2 linked regions of the Notamacropus eugenii genome follow. The protein of the gene in region 2 interacts with the protein of the main gene of each other region in a pairwise test. Links are inferred from orthologs where the notes say so. Each region holds a gene or a part of one and is shown on either strand. Other genes may lie near its edges.

Evidence for each region.
Region 1: the proteins of TFG (region 2) and MAPK1IP1L interact in binary tests that used the Homo sapiens proteins (3 or more experiments, as listed by UniProt). The two-hybrid records come from large-scale screens. The link is inferred for Notamacropus eugenii from reciprocal best matches to the Homo sapiens genes TFG and MAPK1IP1L.

The regions. Positions count from the first base shown.
Region 1 is NC_092872.1:333,131,670-333,142,776, forward strand, and holds the start of MAPK1IP1L (MAPK-interacting and spindle-stabilizing protein-like), read right to left. Parts: upstream 4,290-11,107; 5' UTR 4,150-4,289; exon of another isoform or gene 3,973-4,149; intron 3,799-3,972; 5' UTR 3,727-3,798; intron 1-3,726.
Region 2 is NC_092876.1:369,382,554-369,393,412, forward strand, and holds the start of TFG (protein TFG), read right to left. Parts: upstream 5,100-10,859; 5' UTR 4,968-5,099; intron 4,684-4,967; exon of another isoform or gene 4,229-4,683; intron 1-4,228. UniProt on the Homo sapiens protein: Plays a role in the normal dynamic function of the endoplasmic reticulum (ER) and its associated microtubules. Required for secretory cargo traffic from the endoplasmic reticulum to the Golgi apparatus.

The DNA of each region.
Region 1 (11,107 bases), on a different chromosome or scaffold from region 2:
TTCCAACCCATGCTTGAAAAGAAATTCCCTACTACATCACTAATCACTCCATCAACAGGAGACAGCATCTATAATCGTACTGAAAGTCTACTATATATCAAACACTGTTTTGGGCACGGGGCATACAAATAAAAAAGTAACAGTCCCTACCCTCAAAAATTCTCATCACCTATCTCCCTGACTCCACAATAAACAAGCATTTTGTTAAATGTCATATACCAAGAACCATACTAAATGCTAGGGTTAAAGAGAAAGGCAAAATTAGGTCCCTGACCTCTAGGAACTTATATTCTAACAGAAGAGACAACATGTAAATATACAGGTATATACAAAGGTAAGGAGGCAGAGCATTCCAGCCATGAGACAGCCAGTGCAAAGGCAAAAAAGAGATGGAAGATGGAATGTCATGTTCAAAGCCAGTGTATCTGAATGGTAGAATGTGTGGAAGTCAACTGTGATTAGACTGGAAAAGTAGGAAGGTGCCAGAGCTTAATATGTCAAATAGAAGAGTTTATATTTGATCCTAGAGGGAACAGGAAGGCACTGGAATTCAGTGAGCAAGAATGTGACATGGTTAGACCAATACTTTAGAAAAATCACCGTGGCAGTTGAATTGAGGATAGAGAGAGTGGAGAAAGCTATTGCAATAGTCCAGATGAGGTGATTAAGGGCCTATTCTCCATGCTGGGACCGTATAATAATCTTCAGCCTTTTAGAAACCTTAACTTCCTTTAAGTTCAGCTGAGGAAGCATGAAGACTTTCCAAATGCTCCTGGTTGGTGACAATCTCAAATTCTTTTGTATTTACCATACCTCTGTAAATTTATGTCCTTTTAGTAGACTATAAGCTCCTTGGAGAAAACGATTGGGGGGGTGGGGGTGGCAAGTGTCCCTAGCACCTAGAGAACCTAGATCTAAATATCACTTCTGATGCTTACTTACTGTGTGACCTTAGGCAAGCTGCTTAAACTCCCTGACTCCTCAGTTTCCTCATTTGTAAAATGAAGGGGTTGGACTAGATGGCTTTTTAGCCATTTTCCAGCTCTAGATCTGTGATCCTAGTAGGCATTTAATAGAGGTCTACTGAACTGGTTTTACTTAGCTGAATTATTTCAGCATTTTGATTGTGCTTTCTTAACATTTTAATTTCATACTTAATACATATTAAGCTCTGTTCTAAATCCACCTTCAACAGTAGTTAATAATGTTAAAATGAGAGCTCAAGCTAAGAAAGTCCTAAAGTAGGGTTTGCAATCTGAAATCCATGAACTTTTTAAATTTTTGATTACTCTATTTCAATAAAGTTGGTTTTCTTTGTAATCCCGTGTATTTTATGCATTTAAAGACAATATTCTGAAAAGGGATTCACAGGTTTCACCAGACTGACAAAAAAGTTCATGACACAAAAATGGTTTAGAATTCCTTTCCAAGAAGAAAGGAATCCGGAGAGAATTACTTTCCTCAACATATAGAGGTTTTTCAATACAAAGTGCTTTTCTAAGGCACTAGTCCTGATCTTTTGGAAGTATCAAAACCTTTCACTTTAAAATAAAATTTGAGCTGAAACTTTATGATAGGATTTATAAAGTAGCCTAAAAAATGTTAGTAATGATACTAAGAAGCATAAAAAAAGGGGCAAAAAACCTACTTTCAGTCCATTTTTATTCACATTCTAACCAGGGCACAGAAACTATTAGTGAAACGGATGTGGTTGGTTGTTAACAGTGTTCTGTAACTAGGAAAAGTAGTGGATGGGGTAGTTTATCTCTGAAAGATGCTTTTACAATAATTTTCAGTAGTCCAGAGGGCTATTTCCATTCATCAGATTTTTAATTTAAAAAACATGAACATTCTTTTAATTCATGTTTTAATTTTTAAACAATTTTGTAAAAAGTGGTAACATAAGACACACTATCCTTTGAGATTTCCAAATAGTAGGCAGCTGTTGTCATGTTTGCATTGTTCTGTATTTGGGCCAATGAAGCTGATGGACGCTTGTTTCATCCTCTGAGTTTTGGTTATTAACATTTTTGATTTCCTATCTCTGTAGGCTTCCTAATTTTGTCCAATTATTCACAATGACCAGTGGTGCTAAAATCTACAGAATACAAAGACATCAATTACTTTAGTAGTCAAGATACTGACAGAGTGTAAATGTCATTGCAGTAAGCATTTACATAGACCTTTAAGATTTACAAAGTGCTTTGTAAATATTATTTTATTTTATCCTCATAAAAACCCTGGAAGGTAGATGGTAACCCCATTTCACAGATATGGAAACTGAGGCAAACAACAGTTACATGACTTCCCAAGGCTCACTTATTAAGTATCTTATTAAGTACTTATTAAGTATCTGAGTCTGGATTTAAGTCAAATGTTAGATATAACACTACTAGAAAACTGAATTTTCAGTATCTTCTAATTACATGTACCCTGATACAAGCTGGAAGCATAAAGTTTTGTTTAATGTCATAACTTCTTTTAATCTCCCTCACAGCTATTATTCTTGGCAGAATCTCAGAGTTCTGTGGAAAATACAGCTTAAGAAACACTAGTTTAAAAGTTAATTTAAGAAACAGGCCTTGACCTTTGACCCAGAGATTGGTCAAAGATATAGTGACAAATAATAAAAAGAGATCCCATGAACACCAAAATATTTATGGCACTACTTTTCAGACTATCAAAGAAGTGAAAACAAGGTGCTCATCAACTAAGGAATGGCTAAATTGTGGTACATGAATGTTACTGCCTTTAAGAAAAGAATATTATAAATACAGAGAAGCATAGGGAGGCACATGACCTGATATAAAATGAAGTAGGCAGAACCAAGAAAATAATATGTAAAACAATGGAAGGAACAGCAAAGGAATCTGAATTCTGTTAAATGATGTAATGATGAAGTTTGGCCACAAAGAGTAAATATGAGAATGCACCTGTCTCTCTTAGGGGTGAGGGGGAACTGAGAAAAGTTATGGGTGTGGAATTGTGCATGTCATATTGGACTTGGCTGATGTGTTGAAGAGTTTGGCTCATTCTTCTTTTTCATTCTTTGTTGTAAGGGATAGCCCGCGGGAGGAGAGTGGAGGAATATATTGGTAAATTGCAGAAAAGGATAACAATAAAAATGAAATACCATCGTTGGCACCCATCAGCCACAGAAACCGACATTCTCTTAAGAACACTGCTTAATGTTTATTGTGTACCAAAAGTCTTTGTACATTTTCAATCCCTTTAACAGATTACACTAAGACTTATGGTAAATCCTTTATATCACTTATATTTTTATCTGTGCTGCGTACACAAAGTTGAAAAGATCAATGATTAAACTGATTGCGAACATGTAATTGCTAACCCTTCAAATTCAAAAGAGGATAATAAAGAAACTGAAAGCTCTTTTCGTCTAGCCCTTAATACAGTCTCATAAATCGAGGGTATCAAAATACTACATTACTTGTTGATGGTAATGGGTTATTAAAACATCCGAAGAGAATCTAAAGAAACTAGGAACAATTCAAAATATGAATTTTTTAAAAAAACTGCTTCCCAGAATGAGTCCTTTTCTATTTCTAACTGGCTACAAAAGCTAAGGGTAGGGGGCATCTAAGCATCCGCAAGGGGATGGATAAAGGGAGGGCACGGTGGCCACGATATGCCAAGGACACCACTCACCAGTCCCCCAATTCCCCCCTCCCCAAACCCAGCACAAGAGGAATAAACAAAAAGTACCTGAGGGGAAGGGCAAAGTGAGAAGAGAGCCGCAGGTCCTGGGTCGCGGCCAGGGACCTTACCCGATGGATTCTACAAAGGGGAAGGGGGGAGGGGAAATTACCTGCTCAGGACCTTCCGCCTAGACGTGCCTCTGACGTCACGAAGGCTAGAACGTCACCGCTCGTGACACCTCTCCCCCTCCCCCCAGGCCCCGCCCCTCCCCCCCAGCCTTGCCCCACAATTAATTCTCTTCCCCCGCCCCACCTCGGCCCTGGAGCTCGACCCCGACGTTCAACCGAAGCGCAGTCCCCCGCGGCCGAGAGGAAGAGAGAGGCGGCGGATGGAGCTCCGCCACGGCGCGCCTCCCGCCTTCGAGCCCCTCAGCCCGGCCAGAACCGCGTCCCCGCGCCCCACCCCCACCTAGCTCCGAGGAGGCCTCACCAGACAGGATCGGACCCCAGACCGAGAGGCCAGAAGTGACGACGGCTGGAAGGAGGCGCTGATGACGAAGGGTGAAAAAAGAGGGCGCGAGAAAGCAGAGGAAGCAGAAACAGCAGCGGGCAGCGGCGGCGGAGGCAGCGGGAGCACACGACTCCTCCCCCTCGGCCGGAAGAGGAAGCGGCCCGTACGGCGCCGGCGCTGGCTTCGGCGCTGGCCCCGCCCCCTCCGCTGCGCTGACTCTATTCTCCCCACCCTCACATCCCTTCCCCGGGGAGGCCCGAGGGAGGGGTTGGGAGCTAGGAGTCCGGGCAATGCCGCTACGACTGCCTGTCCTCAGCTTCGCGGCAGCGAGTGCGCTTGCGCCTGCCCCCCCCCCCCCCCCCCCAGCTTCTGGCGGGGCTCTGACGACAACCGGGCTCCTCGGAGGGGTGGGGCTAGAAATTCCTGCCCTAATCGGGACAGACTGCAAATCCAGTTTGGGCTGTGCTGGAACCGGCTGCTACCGGCTTCTCCGAAAGCCATTGTTAAAATTTCCATCAGCGGCTGTACCTTGAGAATCGAGGCTGCGCATCAGGGCTGGGTTTCGTTGTTCTGTTGATCCCCTAGACTTAGGAAAGCTGCAGGGAGAAACATGGACGCACATTGAAAGTGAAGGGTGGTGGGGTTTTGGTTCAATTTTTTTTTTTTTGAGAATTGGTTAGATGTTCTCTAACGTCCAATCCTCTTAAAGGTCACGCCTGAACAAAGAGCTTGATTAGGTTCCCTCTACCTATACTTCATTGCCAAGTCAGTTTATTGATCCCAGAAGCACTGCATTCAGAACCAGCTGGGGAGGGTGGGGGGTGGTGGAAGGACTGGGTTGAAACCCTGCCTCAGACACTAGCTAGCCTGTGTATCTATAAAATGAGAAATAATGGTAACACCTCCAAAGAGGTAGCATGAGTAAAGTGCTTTGTAAAGCGCTTCAGGTATGCTGACAATATTCTCTGCATCTACCTCCAGGACTCTTCCCTCTTCCTCCTTGAAGAGGCACCTTGGGGGTCCACAGAAAAAGCAGCAGCCCTTGGGATTCTCCTACCTTCACCTCCCTGAGCTTCAGCTTCCTCCCCATATGAGGATAAATTACGCCTACATGGAAGATATGTTCGTGGAGGTTATCTTAAAACAACCTTTCACTGTACCCCAAAGAGATCATAAAAACACCCCCGTGTATAAAGATATTTATAGCTGCTCTTTTTGTGGTGGTAAAGAACTGGACGTTGAGGAGATGCCCATCCATCCGGGAGTGGCTGAACAAGTTGTGGTATATGAATGTAATGGAATATTATTGGGCTCTAAGAAATGATGAGCAGGCGGACTTTAGAAAAAACCCGGAAAGCCTCATGGGAACTGATGTTGAGTGAAATGAGCAGAACCAGGAGAACATGGTGATGACCCAGCTCTTCTCAGCCATGCAAGGACCTAGGACAACTCCAAAAGGCTCACGTTCATGCTGTCTACATGCAGAGAAAGAACAGCGCTGATGGAAGCATGCTATTTGCTCCTTTTTGTTTGCTGTTTTGATTCTTCTTTACAGTGTGACTAATGTGAAAATGTTTGAAGTGAATGTATAACTAGAGCCTGTATCCAATTGCACACCTTTTTGGAGAGGAGAGAGGAGGGAGATGGGGAGAAAATTTAAAACTCAAAATCTTATGGAAGTGAACATTGAAAACTAAAACTAGGTAAATTAATTATTTTTAAAAATTTTAAAATACAAACAACCTTTCAGCAAATGGCATGGATAGATATGTTCTGAGGTCTTGCTCTGTAGTCAGAGTAGAAAGGCTGTACCTGTACCAACTGCGTTTAGGTAAGGGAAAGGAGGAAAGGCATGTAGGATCTATAAACCCAGAGAGCAGGCAATCTCTCCTTCAGTCTCCAAGATGGGTATTTGACTAGAATTTTATCCATCTGCTACTCATGAAATACCAAATAAGTGCCATTGTTGAAAGGAAATCCCTAATGAATCAAACAAGTTCAGGAAAATGAAAAACAGAAAAAAAAAGAATTTTATTATAGCACAGGAGGCAAACACCTTGTGCAGCCCAGGTGCCAATTTCAAACCTCCCTGTTGCTTTTATAGACACCTTTTTGAAATAAGAGCAAGACAATCCTGATAGGTACAAGTTTCCAAAAGAAGGTGAGATGAAAGCACATGTGGCTTCCTGATGACTTAGCCCAATACAAAGGACAAGGAGATGGGATCAAAGTACATCTCTCCTCTCTCCCAGAAACTGGTTTACCTCTCCCAAAAGACTGATTGACACATACTGGGAAAACAAGCCAGACTAGAACAAATGGGGTCACTCAGACTGACTCAGCACAAATTTCATTACCACACTGGACAGAGCACTAAATCTAAAGTCTGAAAGATCTGAGTTCAAATTTGGTCTCAGTTATTTTTTGGCTGAGCCTGGACAAGTTACTTAATTTCTCTGTCTCAGTTTCCTCATTGGTAAAATGGAGATAATAAAACCTTCTAAGGTTATTGTGAGACAAAATGAGATGTTTGTGAAGCTCTTTGCAAATCTTAAAGCACCAAATAATTATAACTATCATTATTATTATTATTATTGGGGAGGGTAAGCCTTATCCTACACTCACCAGCTTAGCCTACATCCATCAAATCCTAGTTACACAAAAGACCAACATAAATAGTAAATAATCAGCAACCCATTTATCCAAGTAAAACAGCAAAAAAAATTTTTATAGATTAAACTATACCAGTAAATAACGAGTACAAACTGTTCTTACTTATGTGGTTCAGCAGACCTTCCACTCCTTTCTCAGGGTTCTGCATGACCCTGCCCCCTGAAGCCCAAGTGCCTGGGTGCAGACCCCTGCTGCCAGGAGTCTGAAACAAGCCAGCCTGGAGCCCTAATAAATACAAATTTATGCCAAGAGAGAGCTATCTGTTAAAGGAGTTTTCCAGTTGGGAGTAAGAGGTACTAACTACCAGAAGAGAACGATCACAGTCTGGGGATGCCATATCTCAGAAGTCACCAAATGCTTAGCACAGGGCCTTGGCACATAGTTGGTGATTATTTAGTACTTGTTAACTTGAGTTGTAAGCCCTAGAGATAGAGAAACATGATGGGACTGGCATCTCATGTGTAAAACTTGGAGGGCTACAGCCTGCTATTCAAAGGCTTTCATTTTTCATAATCTCTCAGGAGGTCTTTTCTCCACATGAGTCTCTGAGGCATGTCTAGAACCAAATATATTCACAGGTTTTTGCTCAACATTCTGTCAGTCAGAAGTCATGTCTCCCACTGAAACATGCAAAACCACCCCAGACTTGAGTGGAAGCTAAGTTACATGTAAAATGAGAGGAATGGACTACATGGCCACTGAAGTCCCTTCCAGCTCTAAATCTATGATTCTATTGCATTACATGCCTTTCCCCTCTTCGCTCCCCAGTATTTAAAGCCCAAATTTCCACAGATCCTGTGGGAATTTGAGCAGCCAGCTTCTAGCTATATATCATTTTGGCTGCTTAGCTGGACAAACATTACACTGGGTAGCATCTAGGAGAAGAGGAGAGATCTGACCCTTCACTCCATTTTACATCCGTTGCTCTTCCTTGCTTCAACTCCATGGAACAAGATGTCCCTCTCAGGATAATCTTATCGCTTCTAAACTCACCACCATGCTGCTAACTCAAGACTTCTTGACAACACCTCCCTCAGCATCCTTTCCCCTCTGTTTGGAAGGTTTGAGGACAGAGTATCAAACTCTTCCCAATGCCTTCCTTTATAGAGGTCGGAAAATGGACTCTCAGATCACTTCACTTTACTTGAGCTACCCTGCCTGGTTTCAACTCCACAAAACAAGAGGCTGTCTTGAGTACCCTGTGGTGTTCTATTTCCCTTCCCAAATCCCTCCCCACCACAATCGTAACTCCTTTTGTATGTTGTTTCCCCCTTCTGATTATTGACTCCTGAGGTCAGGGACTATCTTTCTTTTTATTAATTGTATCTCCAGTGCTTAGCATAGTGTTTGGTACATAGTAGGTACTTAATAAATGTTCATTGGATTAGAGTATTGGTTGGATCTTGTATACTACCCTGTAGCATCAATGTGATACCCACAACAGCTACTATGGATATGCATGCATACTTCCAGGGCACATTCGCAAAATTTGAATTCTCTTCCTCAAAGACAAAACTAAGACATTTATTCAGATGCCAGAAAGCAAAATCCATCATAGTAACAAAAATCTATACACATTATCAATGCAGGGAGTACAGTCATCTCCAAGCCTTCCCTCCAGCAGGCCTCCCCCAAAACAAACTCCCTTAGGTTCCCCAAAAACAAACTCCCTTAGGCAAAATCACTCCTCTCACTCACCCTAGCTACTCTGCTCTGCCTGCTCTCTCTCTCAGCTCTACCTCACTCTCTCTTCCTGCTTCACCCTTCCTGCTCCACCCATTTGGCAAGCTCCTCCCACCATCAGCTCCATGTGAGTCAAGCTGTGGGCTGGCTGGAGTTCAAAGCAGGTCACGTGGGCCTATTAAGGGGCAGCGTAGATCTTCAAATTCCCTTACCCACCCTGTAGGTGACAAGATGTGATCTCATTGAGGTGGGGATGATAGTCCTTAACCTGACCTTATGTTGGCAGGAACCACTACTTTCCATATGGAGTATAGGACTCAACTCAAGGGCTTGTACTGGGACCTCTGGCTGACTGTCTCCCTTGGATGTTTCCTTCCTTTGGCATCAAACTTATGAACATTAAAAGGTCTGCAGATATTGTAGCTAGGGTAAATAGCTTCCTCCTCTTTTCTACCCCTTTCTACATACCAGAGCAGCAATAAGGAGAAAGTGCAGAAATAGACTGGTATCAAGAGAACTGAGCAATTTTGGTAACTGAGGTGAAAATATTCTAATATGTTCCTTGATTACCTTAAAACCTGGAATAAGACTAACTTAGGAAAATGGACCAGCAGCAGATTAAGAGAAAAGTGATGACCCAACATGAATAATATGAACAGCAATTGACTTTAAATCTCCATTACATATATGTTAAATTTAATATGCAGTGTCAATACTGTCTTCCTTATCCATGACTTGTTCTGAACTTGTCTCTGCTTTTTTTCCCCTATGTATTTTTGAAATAGTTCTCTAATTCTCTTTCATTTATCATCTTTTTTTTTTTTTTGGTATCTCTATCACTACTGCACCCTCTAAGTCTCTCCCACCCCTGAAAATAAAAGCTCTCCCTCTAAATATGTGTATAAATATGTGTATATACATGCATATACATTTATTTACTATTTCCCTTGAGATTCTTGAGTTTTGGTACTATTTTATATATTATATGTATTTATATAATTATATGATTTGTATAGTTTTATTTTAATTAATTAATTTGTTTTATCATCTAATTATTATCATTTGATAATATCATCTAATTATTGTAATTAGTTTTGTTATTATTTTTGCAGCTCTGTAAAGTAATCTTTTGTTAGATTGATTGATTCATACTGAATAGGTAAATACATTTAGGCAGTATTGTCATTTTATTCCATTAGCATGGCTTCACCATGAGCCATTGATATCTCTCCAGTTATTTAGGACTTTATTACAGTGAAGAGAATTTTATACTGATACAATTCCTTTGTGTTTCTTAGTAGGTGGATAATTTATTCAGTCTTGTAGTTATGGAATTTTTTTTTCTATCTCTCCTTGAAAGTCTTGTTGGCTATTTATAAAAAAGGCTTATGAGGTTTGGATATATTTTATATTCTTTTACTTTCCTAAAATGATTGCTTATTTTAATAATTTTAGTTGGTTCTCTACTAACCAACATATAATTTGCAAAAAAAGGTGTTTGTTTCCTTCTTGTCTCTGTGTATTCTATCAATTTCTTTTTCTTGTCTAATTGCAATATTTTGCATTTCTAGAATTATAGGTATTGAGAATGAACATCCTTGCTTTATCCCAAATAGTATTTCCTTACAGATAAAGCTTCCATTTGGTTTTAGAGGTTTTAGAACTTTCTGCCATGGACCTACCCACTGCTGCATGTCTGGCTGGGGTAGATGAGTCCTGTTTGGTTCTGACTCTTTTTTTAATTTGTACACTACTAGGAATCTGCTGTAGTTCTGGATGAGATGTCTCTGCCTCAATCCCTGGTTTCCATTTTAGTCTCTTAGCTGCCTAATATGGACACTGGCCTCAGCTCAGTTCTCTTTCTCCTGGCATAATCCCCAAATGGGAATTGCTTCCAACCTTTGTGTGGCCCTGACAGGCCCCAATAGATTTTGAAGATCATGCTAGTCTTAGCCCTCCTGCTAGGCTTCCTGGAACATACCAGTCACTGAGCTGGCTTTACGTCCTACTGTATTTCCCATTTGTTGAGAGCAGTTCTAACAACAACACTCTGATGTTGAGATGAAAACAAAAGGAGTTTACTTTGCCCTAACACAGAAAGGTTATGAAATAAGGATACAGAAGCGCTTACCTCCTCTGGATGTAATCCTCCCTCATCTCCCTAAAGCATGTCATCAGGGCAGGATATAATGAAGGACATGGTGACTTTCATGATCTTCAGGAATCTGTGAAGTCATAGGAGCCTAGGCTCTATGTATTTTATGCCTTTAGGTGGCCAGGAAGCTGTAGCAGAGAAACAGACATCAGGTGTCTGGGACAGCTTTATCGTCTTTAAAGAAAGTTAAATTGTCAGGAGAGGTCCTGGGCTGCCCCATGTTGTGAGGGGGTTGAGGGGAGAAGTTAAATCAGAGAAATGATGGTAAATATTAGTCCTATCGCTCCATTGCTCAGAGGTATACATAACCTGTCTCTGTTTCCTGTACAGTGCCTACTGGGGGCTGCCTTTGTCACCTATTTCTGTTCTCTCAAAGCACAGAACCCACTGACTTTAGGCCCTGATTATTGGAATGGTACCGACTTC
Region 2 (10,859 bases):
GGTCTGGCCTGTCTGCAAGGATAGGACAGAAATGATGCTATTCCATCACAGCTGCCCAAGCCCTGAGGAGACATCATTTTGAGGCTAACCCCCTCATGGTGCTAATAATCTTCCTGAAACCATTTAGAAATGATAAACTCCCACGGGGTCGTATACCCTGTCCATCACAGTGATCCAGTATCCCTGACTCTTTATATAAACCCTTTTATCCATCCCTTCTTTGCCCATTCCTTATTTCCATCAATCTCAATCCAACCTCCTCCAATGTAGCACTCTAAGTTACCCATCCCTTTCATTGTGCTCTCTATAATATTGTCTCTGTAGGTAACAGAAATTGTTTCCATTTTAGTTTTCCTTTCCCGCTCTTTTGACCTTCTGGCTATTCCTGAGACCTGGCTCCCTCCTGATGACACAGTTTCCCTGGACACCCTTTCCATCACTAATTGAACTTTCACTTATTTCCCCTGACTCAGTCACTGGCTGATCCAGGTAGGGGAATCGGAATACCAGCTTCCTATTATCATTTCCAGGCTCTTCTTCCTCCTCCATCATTCAGTAACAGAGAGAGCCATACTTTTAATCTTAATCACATTATTCCAAAAAGGCCCTCACTGCATCAAGGCAATCCTTTTACATTCCCTAATTAGCCTACTATCCCACTCAGCTTTTCCTTAATGTTTCATCCCACCTCAAACCTACCATAGCTTCCCCTTCCCCTACACTCTCAACTGAGATTTGCCTCATATGTCATAGAAAAAGTTGAAGCCATTCCCTGAGAATTTTTTCTTCTTCCCTCCTCAACTTATATCTCTGAGATGCCTGCTGCCACCATCCCCATGTTCATCACTGTCAAACCCTTCTCCAGGCACAAAAAATGACCCTATTCAACACATCTTCTCTACAAGATTGCAGCCTCTGGCACTCGTCCCACCCATCACTCTTTTTCAATCTCTCCCCGTCAACTGGTTGTTTCACTACTGCCTACAAATATGTCCATGTTTACCCCATACTTAAAAAGGCGAAACTTGATACGTCCATCCCAGCTAGTTCCATCTCCCTCCTCTGTCTCGTGGCTAAACTCCTCGAGAAAGCCATCTCAAGGCACAGTTAAGTGCCTCCACTTGTTTTCCTCTCACTCTCTTAACTCTCTTTTATCTGGCTTTCATCCAATCCAAAGTTACTAAATCACCTTTCCCTGATACTCTATCTAGATCTTCTGGTTTTCCTACATGACAACTTCTCGGGGTCCTTTGCAATATCTTCATCTGGATTATGCCAGTTAGCCATAGGTGACCCATAGGACACACTATACTATTTCATTGGTAACTGTCAGCTCCCACGGATTCAGTTAGCATCTCTATGCTGATGATTCCCAAAGCTACTTACTCAACCATAATCTCTGGAGACTTCCAGTCTTGAATCTATAACTGCCTATCATATATCTTGAAGTGGATGTCCCACAGACATCTTAAACTCAAAATGTCTAAAACTGACTTCGTTATCCTTCCCTTCCCCTTAACTTCCTTATTACCATTGAGAGTACCACCATCCTTCCAGGCAATCAGGCTTGCAATCTAGGGCAACCTATATGTCATTCTCAACTTCCCACTTTCTCTCAACCTCTATATCTAATCTGTTGCCCAGGCTACCAATTTTATCTTCATAACACCTCTCACATATGCTCCCTTCTCTCCTCTGACCACCACTCCAGTGAAGGCTCTCACTACCTCAAACTGGACTATCGCAATAGAGAGGCAGCTGGACTCTCTGCCACAAATCTCTCCCCTAGACATCCTCCACTAAACTGTCAAAGTAATCTTCCTAAAGTACAGGCCTGACCATACTACCTTCCTACTCATTTACCTCCTATGGTCCTCTATTACCTCCAGGATCAAAGATAAAATCTTCTGTTTGGCACTCAAAGTCCTTCATAATCTGCCTTCTCCTCCATACATTCTTTCCAATCTTCTCATACCTTACAATTGGTCCCCCCACCATACACACACAATCTACAGTCTGGTGACAACGCCCTCCTTGATGCTGCTCCCCTTCCTCATCTTGCATGGTTTCCTTCATATCCCAGCTAAAATCCCATCTTTCCCAATCCCCTTAATTCTAATGCCTCCTTCTATTAATTATTTCCAATTTATCCTGTATGTAGCTTGTTTGTATATAGCTGTCTTTGTTGTCAGGGAACTGTCAGATTCTGAGCTCCTTGACAGCAAGGACTGTCTTGTGTCTTACTCTGTATCTCCAGGCTTATCACAATCCCTGGCACACAGCAAGCATATAAAAAAAGTAATTTACCAACCAAAAAGAAAATAAACCACTCTTATGTTTCTAATGTTACAAGGTGAATAAAGTTTAGTCCTCTTATCTATTCATGACTCATCAGCAAGAAATTGGTAGTATTATTATTGAGCTAATGAGCAGCTAGGATTGCTGCCGAACCCAAATAGCCCATTTCAACATCATTCTCCCTTCAAAGTCCACAAAATACCTGAGAAAGCAAAACTTACTAAGCCTTTGTGAGGAATTCTCCTAGTTCAATTTCACAAAGATTTATTATTATTTTGCACAGAAGGCAAAAGGGACATGTTCACAGTCACACAAAAGCCTGATCTCATATATTTGAAACAGGATTCAATATTCATCAGAATACTGAATTTCAAGTCCTACCCATCAAGGTCACCCTTTCTCTGAGGTACAGAACCAAGCTAACTTTCAATGATGCTGGAAGAAGAAAGAGCTGGTATACACAGTGAAGAAACAAGATGGTACAGTGGGAAGTAGATTTGGAGTTATGAGGAAAAAGGTCTGAAGTCTATCCCTGTCACTTCACTCATCACCACAGTTGCCCCCCTTGTGTTTTATCTACACTCTTATTCTATCAAACATCAAGCACTTAATAAGTATTTAATTTAATTTAACTACACTTAGAATCAGAAGACTTGGGTTCAAATCTCTGCCATTCACCAGCTATTGTTTTATTAAAGTCACAACTTGTCTGGGTTTCAGTTTTTTCAAATAAGGGAGTTGGACTAGAGATGACCTTTTCTATTCTTCCTAGCTTTAATACTCTTCAGGACCTTTGAGATAACTTCCTATCCAATGCAAGAATTGGTTCTTCAATTTATTAAATACCTTAATAGGTATTATTTAATAATTAATATTTAATAATTATTTAACTTAATATAATGCCTATTATGATGAACTGTAGAAAGTTCAAAGACAAGAAGAACAGCTCCAAAGGAGTTTGGATAAAACATGCAAATAAAATATATACACATCCATATATATATATATACATATATATATGAAGTAATGAAGAAAATAATATGTGGAGGAATAAATATCTAGTGTAAAATGTGTCACTCCAGGCATGCCTTGAAAGAAGCTAGGAACTTCCAAGTGGCAAATGTGAGAAGATAGAACATTCCTGGGATGGAGGTTGTTCAGTCATGTCTGACCTCTTTTTGACTCCATTTGGGGTTTTCTAGACAAATATACTGACTGGAGCAGTTTGCCATGTTCATTTTACAGATGAGGAAACTGAGGCAAACATGGTTAAGTGATTTGCCCAGGGTAACACAGCTAGTAAAGTGTCCCAGGTCAAATATGAACTCAGGAAGATGAGTCTTCCTGACTCCAGGCCCAGCATTCTACCCACTAACCACTTACCTGTCCTAAAGACAGAGGACAAACCTTTAAAAATAGTCAGGGCAGTGGGAGAGGAAATAGTGAAAATAGGTAGAGTGCCTGAAGGCAAGTGTTGTGAAATTAGTCTGTTAATAAAGGCTGAAGACAAGTCATCACTTGCTTTAAATATCCCACCAAAGGATGTTGTCTTTCCTCCCAGAGGAAACAAGGAGCCACAGAAAGCTTTAGAGCAAGGAAGTGAGATGAGACTTATGTTTTAAGGCATACCTATCCAGTTGCAAGGACAATGGATACACCCCGGTTTCAAACGATCAAAGTACAGCTGTTCACGGTTGACAACTTTTTCTAGCTCAACGGACCTTTTTGGTACTCTGGTGAAAACCACAAATCTTCTAAAAATGTTTTGAACTGCCTAACATACAATGCGTATGACTGCAAAGGAAATCAATTACACAGAAATTCGGGTGATTTTTTTTCTTCTCTTCCACTCGTTTACGCTCTGAAGTCTTTCCAAGTACGGGGTGGGGGGGAGGTTAGGGGAAGAAGGGGGGAAGACGGGTCCACGTACCCTAGGTTTAAGAACTCCTGCTCACAGAAGCAACATATGCCTAAACACCAATAAAGGCGTTGGTGAGCTGGCTGCACAAAGGTCGAGGCCCTCCTCCACGGTGACAGTCTTCAGCAGGATCTGGCTCCGCTGTCCAAGCTCCTCCGGAGGCAAGAGCTGTCCCCCCCACCCCCACTTCCCCAGTCATTCCGTTCCATTAATTTAGCGCCCCTCACGCGCCTACTACGCTTTGGTGAAACAGCCGGGGGGTTGGGAGGGGAGCAAAAGTCAAAACGGAAGGGGGCCATCCCGCCCCCCATGCCTTCTCTCCACAAGTAGCTCCCACGTCACAGACGACCGATCCCAGCCCCATTCCCTCCTCCGCTCATCTCTATCCCAGCTCCGGCGGCGCGCGCCCCCCGCGTGAGCCCTCGCGCATCCCCATTCCCCGCAGCCAGCTCGTGACGTTATCCCTCCCCTGGCGGGTCCCGCCCCCACCACCACGCCCGCTCCTAGCCGGGTCCCAGCCCCCTCCTTCGCCTCGAGCCCCTCCCTAGCCCAGAGCCGGTTCCGGGTGCCCCTCCCTCCCCTCGCCTCGCCTCACGTCCCCCTCCAGTCTCCTCGCGCCCCACCCCCGCCCCCATCCGCCAGCCCAGAGCCAGTTCCCACCAAGGCCTCGGCGCGCATGCCCGCACAGTGGGCCTGAGACAGACGAGAGGCAGCCAGCAGGCGCACCCCAGTTTCGAGCGACCAAAAATACCTTCCTCGTCGGGGCCGCAGCCGGCGCCGTGCCTTCGGCCTCGCCTGCTGCTCCGGTCCTGTCTCTGAAGGTAGCGCCGGTGCCGAAGCCACCACAGCGACAGGGAGGAGGCTACCGTCCGTCACGTTCGGCCGCCGCCGTAAATCGCCCTCAGGCTCAACCAATCGCTTGGACCCACTGAGCCTAGCGTGAGCTCGAGCCCCGTACGTGGCAGGCTCGGGGGAGGGCAGGGCAGGGGGCGTGGCCAGGAGGCGGAGAGGCGAAGGGAAAAAGAAAGGAAACCTCTCCTTCCGCCTTGACAAGTGCCTCTCCTCTTCTACCTTAAAGCGCATGCGTTTCAGGTTGTAGCTCTGATGGCCGTGTCTGAAAGCTTGTGAAGTTTTTGTTTTGTTTTTTAATGGCATTTAGGGGGGAGAAAAGGCGTGGATGGTGAAATTACGCATGCGCATAAGTGCGACAGTGATTTTTTTTTTTTTTTATTTCCCTGAATTCTGACATGTAGACCCACTGAGCATGCGCTTGACTAAGAAGTGGATTTCACCCCTTTCTAAAAGGCACCTGCACAGCCTGAGATTCAGGCTTCGCCCATATCGGGGATCCTTAATCTTGGGGTCCATAAACAGTTATTAATTTTGTAACTGCATGTCAGTATAATTGGCCTTGTGTTTTATTTTGTGCACTGTAAGAACCCCTGGATGAGAACTGAGTTCCCTTCCAGCTTTTCAATAAGCTCCAATATAATAAATTCATTCTGCTCAGTAATAAGCACGAAGATGGCTTAGGTATCTATCTAATCTCTGAGCCTTGGCCATTTCCCGTATCTGGAGGGCATTCCCTTAGCTGGCTTCTTCGGAGAATCCCCCTCTTCCTTTCCAGCTACAGCTCAGGTACCACCCTGCTGGTCCACCCACTCCCAGTGCCTCCTGCCAAGCTAACTTGTGTTGAACTACGATGTGTTTGTAGTTATGCACTCTATGCTCTGTGTGTGTGTGCGTGCATACTACATGCATAAAGGTAAAGTATTGTGTTTGTGTGTGTATTACATATACTTGTCTCCCCCTTTAGAATGCTGAGATCTTTAAATGCAGGTATCGTTTCATTCTTGGTGCCTGTAGGTATCTTTTGGAACTAGCACAGTGGCTTAGTAATAGTTGTTTGCCTTCCCATGGGACGTTTAACTCCTTGAGAGAAAGTACTGTTTAGGTTTGGGTTTTTGTCCTTTCTTTGTATCCCCAGCACTTAGCACAGTACCTGGCACATAGTGGGCACTTAATAAATGCTTGTTGACTTAATTTTACTCACAGAGGAGTTTGCTAGGTTTTCACTGAAGCTAGGGGCATGGTATGAATATGTTTTCCAGAAATGTCAGATAAATTATTTAAATCAATGGCTTCACTCTTCTCAGATCTGGACTTTTCCCTAAGAGTCAAATGACTGACTTACTTACACACCCTGATATTCATAAGATACTAGCAGTAACACTCTATGGCCCCATAGTTTATTTGTTATAGCAAAGATGAAAAGAAATTAACTGATTGCTTCTCCGTGGATCACTATATCCAACCATTTTCCAAAATTCCAGCCAACTACTTCTCTACGCTCAGGCAACTGATAAGGGCCCACCACACCCTTATTCATAGTTTGTAAAGTGAGAATAAGGGAGGGGAATAACAGGAAGACAATGGCAGCACTGGGAGAGAGAAGTTGGTGTCTCAGCCTTTCGTCACTACTCTCCCAGGCTTCATGATAGCTGACAATCTCCAGAACTCTGATCCCTTACTTCTCCTGGACCGGTCATCTCCCTCACACTGTTCCTGATCATCACAAGTAGAGACTCAAGTCAGAGTGTGGCCAAAAATACACTTCCGGGGTCCAAAACATATATTCCTTGTCTACACATGTTCTTTATTCCTGGTTCACACATTTTTCCTGCATGTGCCTCTTCTCCAATTAGTAATGTGATTACCATTGGGTGGGCAGTTGGGCATCACTTATTTTATGTTTTTTAATTAAGTATCTTATGTCTTGAATCAATGTCTTCTGATTGCCCTAGGAAAAATAAACACACCAGTCTCATGAACTATGGTTTTGATTACATACTCTGTCTAGTGCAGGGGGCATGCTTTCTCACTGGTAATCACATTACTAATTGGATAATGACTCACAAAGTGCCTTGAACCAAGAGCCTGAATGTTCTAGTTGCCCTTTATGCTGTTGCATTAGTAATATTTTGTAGATGAGGAAAGGAAAGTTCTTAGCTAGTAAATTGCTGACGTGAGATTTGAACCCAAATCTCTGAATTTTAGGTCCCATATGCTGCTTCCTATTAGAGGCAATTAACCTGACTCTAAACTTCTTCACTGGATCTTGCATCAGCTATGGAATTCTGATAGTGAGTCTATTACATGAGGAAGGGATGAAGCCCAGGATTCTAGTCCCTAGAAACCATTTTCTAACACATACACAGTGTGTCTGAGAAGACAAGTGAAATTATCCCCAGTGTCTTCATGGCCATTTGCCAGTGCATGCTTTATTGCCTTCTAGATTGAGATGGGTAAGGTTTCTTCACTTATGTCTCCTAAAGGCTATATTTTCAGACATTTTGCTGACAGTGTTTCTGCCTGCATGCTTTTCTTCTTCTGTAGACTATAGGAATATAACCTATACATTGTTGGATAGTAGAAAAATGAAGCCCATAAGCATTTGTAAGATCATAAAACTGGAAAGGACCTTGAAATATTATCTAGTCCATCAATTTACCTCTAAGACAAGACTATAATTGGGCCACCTTAGGTAAGGGCCCTATTTTTTCAAAGATATCCATTTGAATCATTAATTTTGTTATTGCTTAAAGTTTCCAATACAGTATTTATTTTTAAAAATACAAAGGATAACAGATTTAACATTGAAAGGATCCTTAGAGGTTAGTGAATCCAGGTTATAATTTCCCTTTAGTGATACATTTTACCTTTCAGTACTAATATATTCTTAGAGACAATGAAAAGCTGGAAGTCATCAAGCAAGCCTTTATGAGGAAAGTTCTTTGAAAACCATAAAGCTACATAAATGTGAGTCATTGTTGATAGTCCCTCCTGTTTCTGAATAATCAGACTATGAGTTCTCACTGGCCAAATATACTGCCTTCTAATTTTTTTCTTTACATTACCTGTTCCAGGATGACATTCTCCCTGATTGTGATATCATAGATAAGGAGGAAAAGTGATAACAAGATTGTATTTGCTGTTTTATTTCAAGGGAGGCTACGAGAGAAAATAATTAAACTTTTAAAAAAATTGTTCCTTACCCTTCTGAAAATATCACAGTATTTTTATATTTCAATATAATTCCCTTTTCTCTTTGTTTCATAGATAACACACGGGAGACCCTAGAGTTGGGAACTCCAGCCTCTAACAGGTTCACTCTTGCTCTGGTCAGACAGGCAGACACTTTTGGAGGTGTTAATAATCAGCTTTATTCTTGTCTAATCTTCTCAGAAGGGTTGCAGATAATGGGAGCACAAGCTCCTACAGCATTCTGTAATCACCCTTCTTACAGGGGCGGGCAATAAGCGGGGGAATCAACTACCCTTACATCTCAATGGGGTCAATCGAGACAGGCACAGCTTGTGCACTCCCCTAAATCCTCACAAGCCTTGATGAGGATTGGTCAAGACACACACAGATTCCCCACTCACTGACCAGTGCCCACTTGCTTTATAGGGTAACATACAAAGAAGACATATTGCCAACAGTGGCCTCACAGGTTAGCTTTAGCAGTATCATCATTCAGCACAAGTGTAGTAAATACCAATTATGTCACCCCATATTTCATGGCATAGCCTCAGTAGGACTGCCTATCGTTATGATTCTAGGAACTACTATCTAGAATCCTTGGAGCTATTCTGGGAGTTATTATCTAACACCTGGAAACTAGATGTTGCAATGACCATGGATCTTAAATCTAAGAAGGATAGCAAAATCCTCCTTACTTACACTCTTGAAAGTGTTTGAGTAAAGATGGAGTCCTCTCATTACTTCACTTTTCAAAAGAGATGGCTGCAGAATGTTGTCTTTGCTTGGCTAGAAGCCAGGAATCAGAGCCCAGGATTGGAACTGTCCTTGCATAGGTAAAGGTGAGTTCACCAACTAGGTCCCTCTCAGGGAAATGGGTTTGAAGTCCTCTTCAACCTCTATCTGACTACCTCACTACTTTCACTTATGGAGGTTTTTATTTATTCTGTTCTATGCCTCTTCACCACCTGAGAAAACAACAGCTTCTTATCCATCTCTTGCTACTTATTGCTCAGGTAGATGAGAAACATTATCATTACCAAGTTACTTGGTTAAGCACCTGAGGTAGCTCCAACCCTGGTTTCTTTTAAGGATTAACTTTGAAGACCTTAATCCTGAAAAAATTGTTACATCCAGAGACAGTACTTAATTAATTTATTAATGTATTTGAGAAAACCAATTCTTTAGCCCTTCATAACCATGGAGTACTCAAACACAAAACTTCCCCTAGCCAGAGAATAGCAGGGTCTCAGACACCTGTTCTGATCCAAAGTTATTGCACATTCAGAGTCTTCTGGTTGTTTGTGATCCTTCACCTTTGGATAACGCAAAAGGACTTCCAGTGTCAGTTCAATCAAACAGCTAGGCTGAGCTGTAGCTAGGACTAAATGACTGGGGTTATGATGAAAGTTTTGTTTTGTTTTGTTTTTTAGATTAATTAATTTCTAGTTTTCAACATTTGCTTTTATAAGATTTTGAGTTCTAGATTTTTCCCCCTTCCTCCCCTCCTTTGTCCCCAAGATGTCATGCAATCTGATATAAGTTATAGTTGTATGATCATACTAAATGTATTTCCATATTAGTCACTTTGTGGAAGAAGAATCAGAACAAAGGGGGAAAACCATGAGAAAAAAAACAAAGAAGCAACAACAACAAAAGGAAAATTAGTATGCTTTGATATGCATTCAGAATCCGTAATTCTTTCTTTGGATGTGGATAGAATTTTCCATCATAACTCTTGGAATTGTCTTAGATCCTTGCATTGCTGAGAAGGGCTAAGTCTAACATAGTTGGTCATCGCACAATGTTGCTGTTACTGTGTACAGTTTTCTTCTGGTTCTGTTCACTTCACTCAGCATCAGTTCATGCAAGACTGTCTAGGTTTTTCTGAAGTCTGCCTACTCACTATTTCTTATGAAACAATAGTATTCCATTATATTTATATACCACAACTTGTTCAGCCATTCCCCAATTGATGGCATCTCCTCAATTTCCAATTCTTGGCAACCACAAAAAGAGCAGTTATAAATATTTTTATATATGTCTATAAGCAGGATGTAAATGCTGTTAGGACGTTTTCACAGTAGAAGCAACAATAGCCAGGTTCAAATCCTGCACTGGACTGTTCCTTGCTATGTGACCTTGGGCAAGTCATTATGTTGAGGTTTAGGGGTGTGAGGAACCTGATATAGCAAGCCCCTATTCTTCCCGGAAAAATTGAGCCAAGCGTTCTTCCAGCAGAAGTTGAAGTTTATTATAGGTCTGCCATTTGGGGTAGACTCATTAGAAATCTGTGCATTTGTGACTTACAAGTGAACCATTTAGAACCTGAGCCCTGGTGATAAGGGCCAGATGGAATCTGCGCACTTTCATGGAGGCAAGTTGGATCTTATATCCAGAAAGACTATGGGAGGGATCTAGGCATGGTCAAGTAGTCTGGGGTGAGTAGAGGAGGCGTTTAAGGAGGATCTTGAAGGGAGTGACCAGTAATTTGGGTGAGTAGAGGTCAAGAGAGCAGGAACCAAGAAAAAAGCATTTTGATAGCATGAAAGATGGGAAGTAGCTGAAGGTTCCCTGGAGATAAGACAAAGGAGGGCTAGGC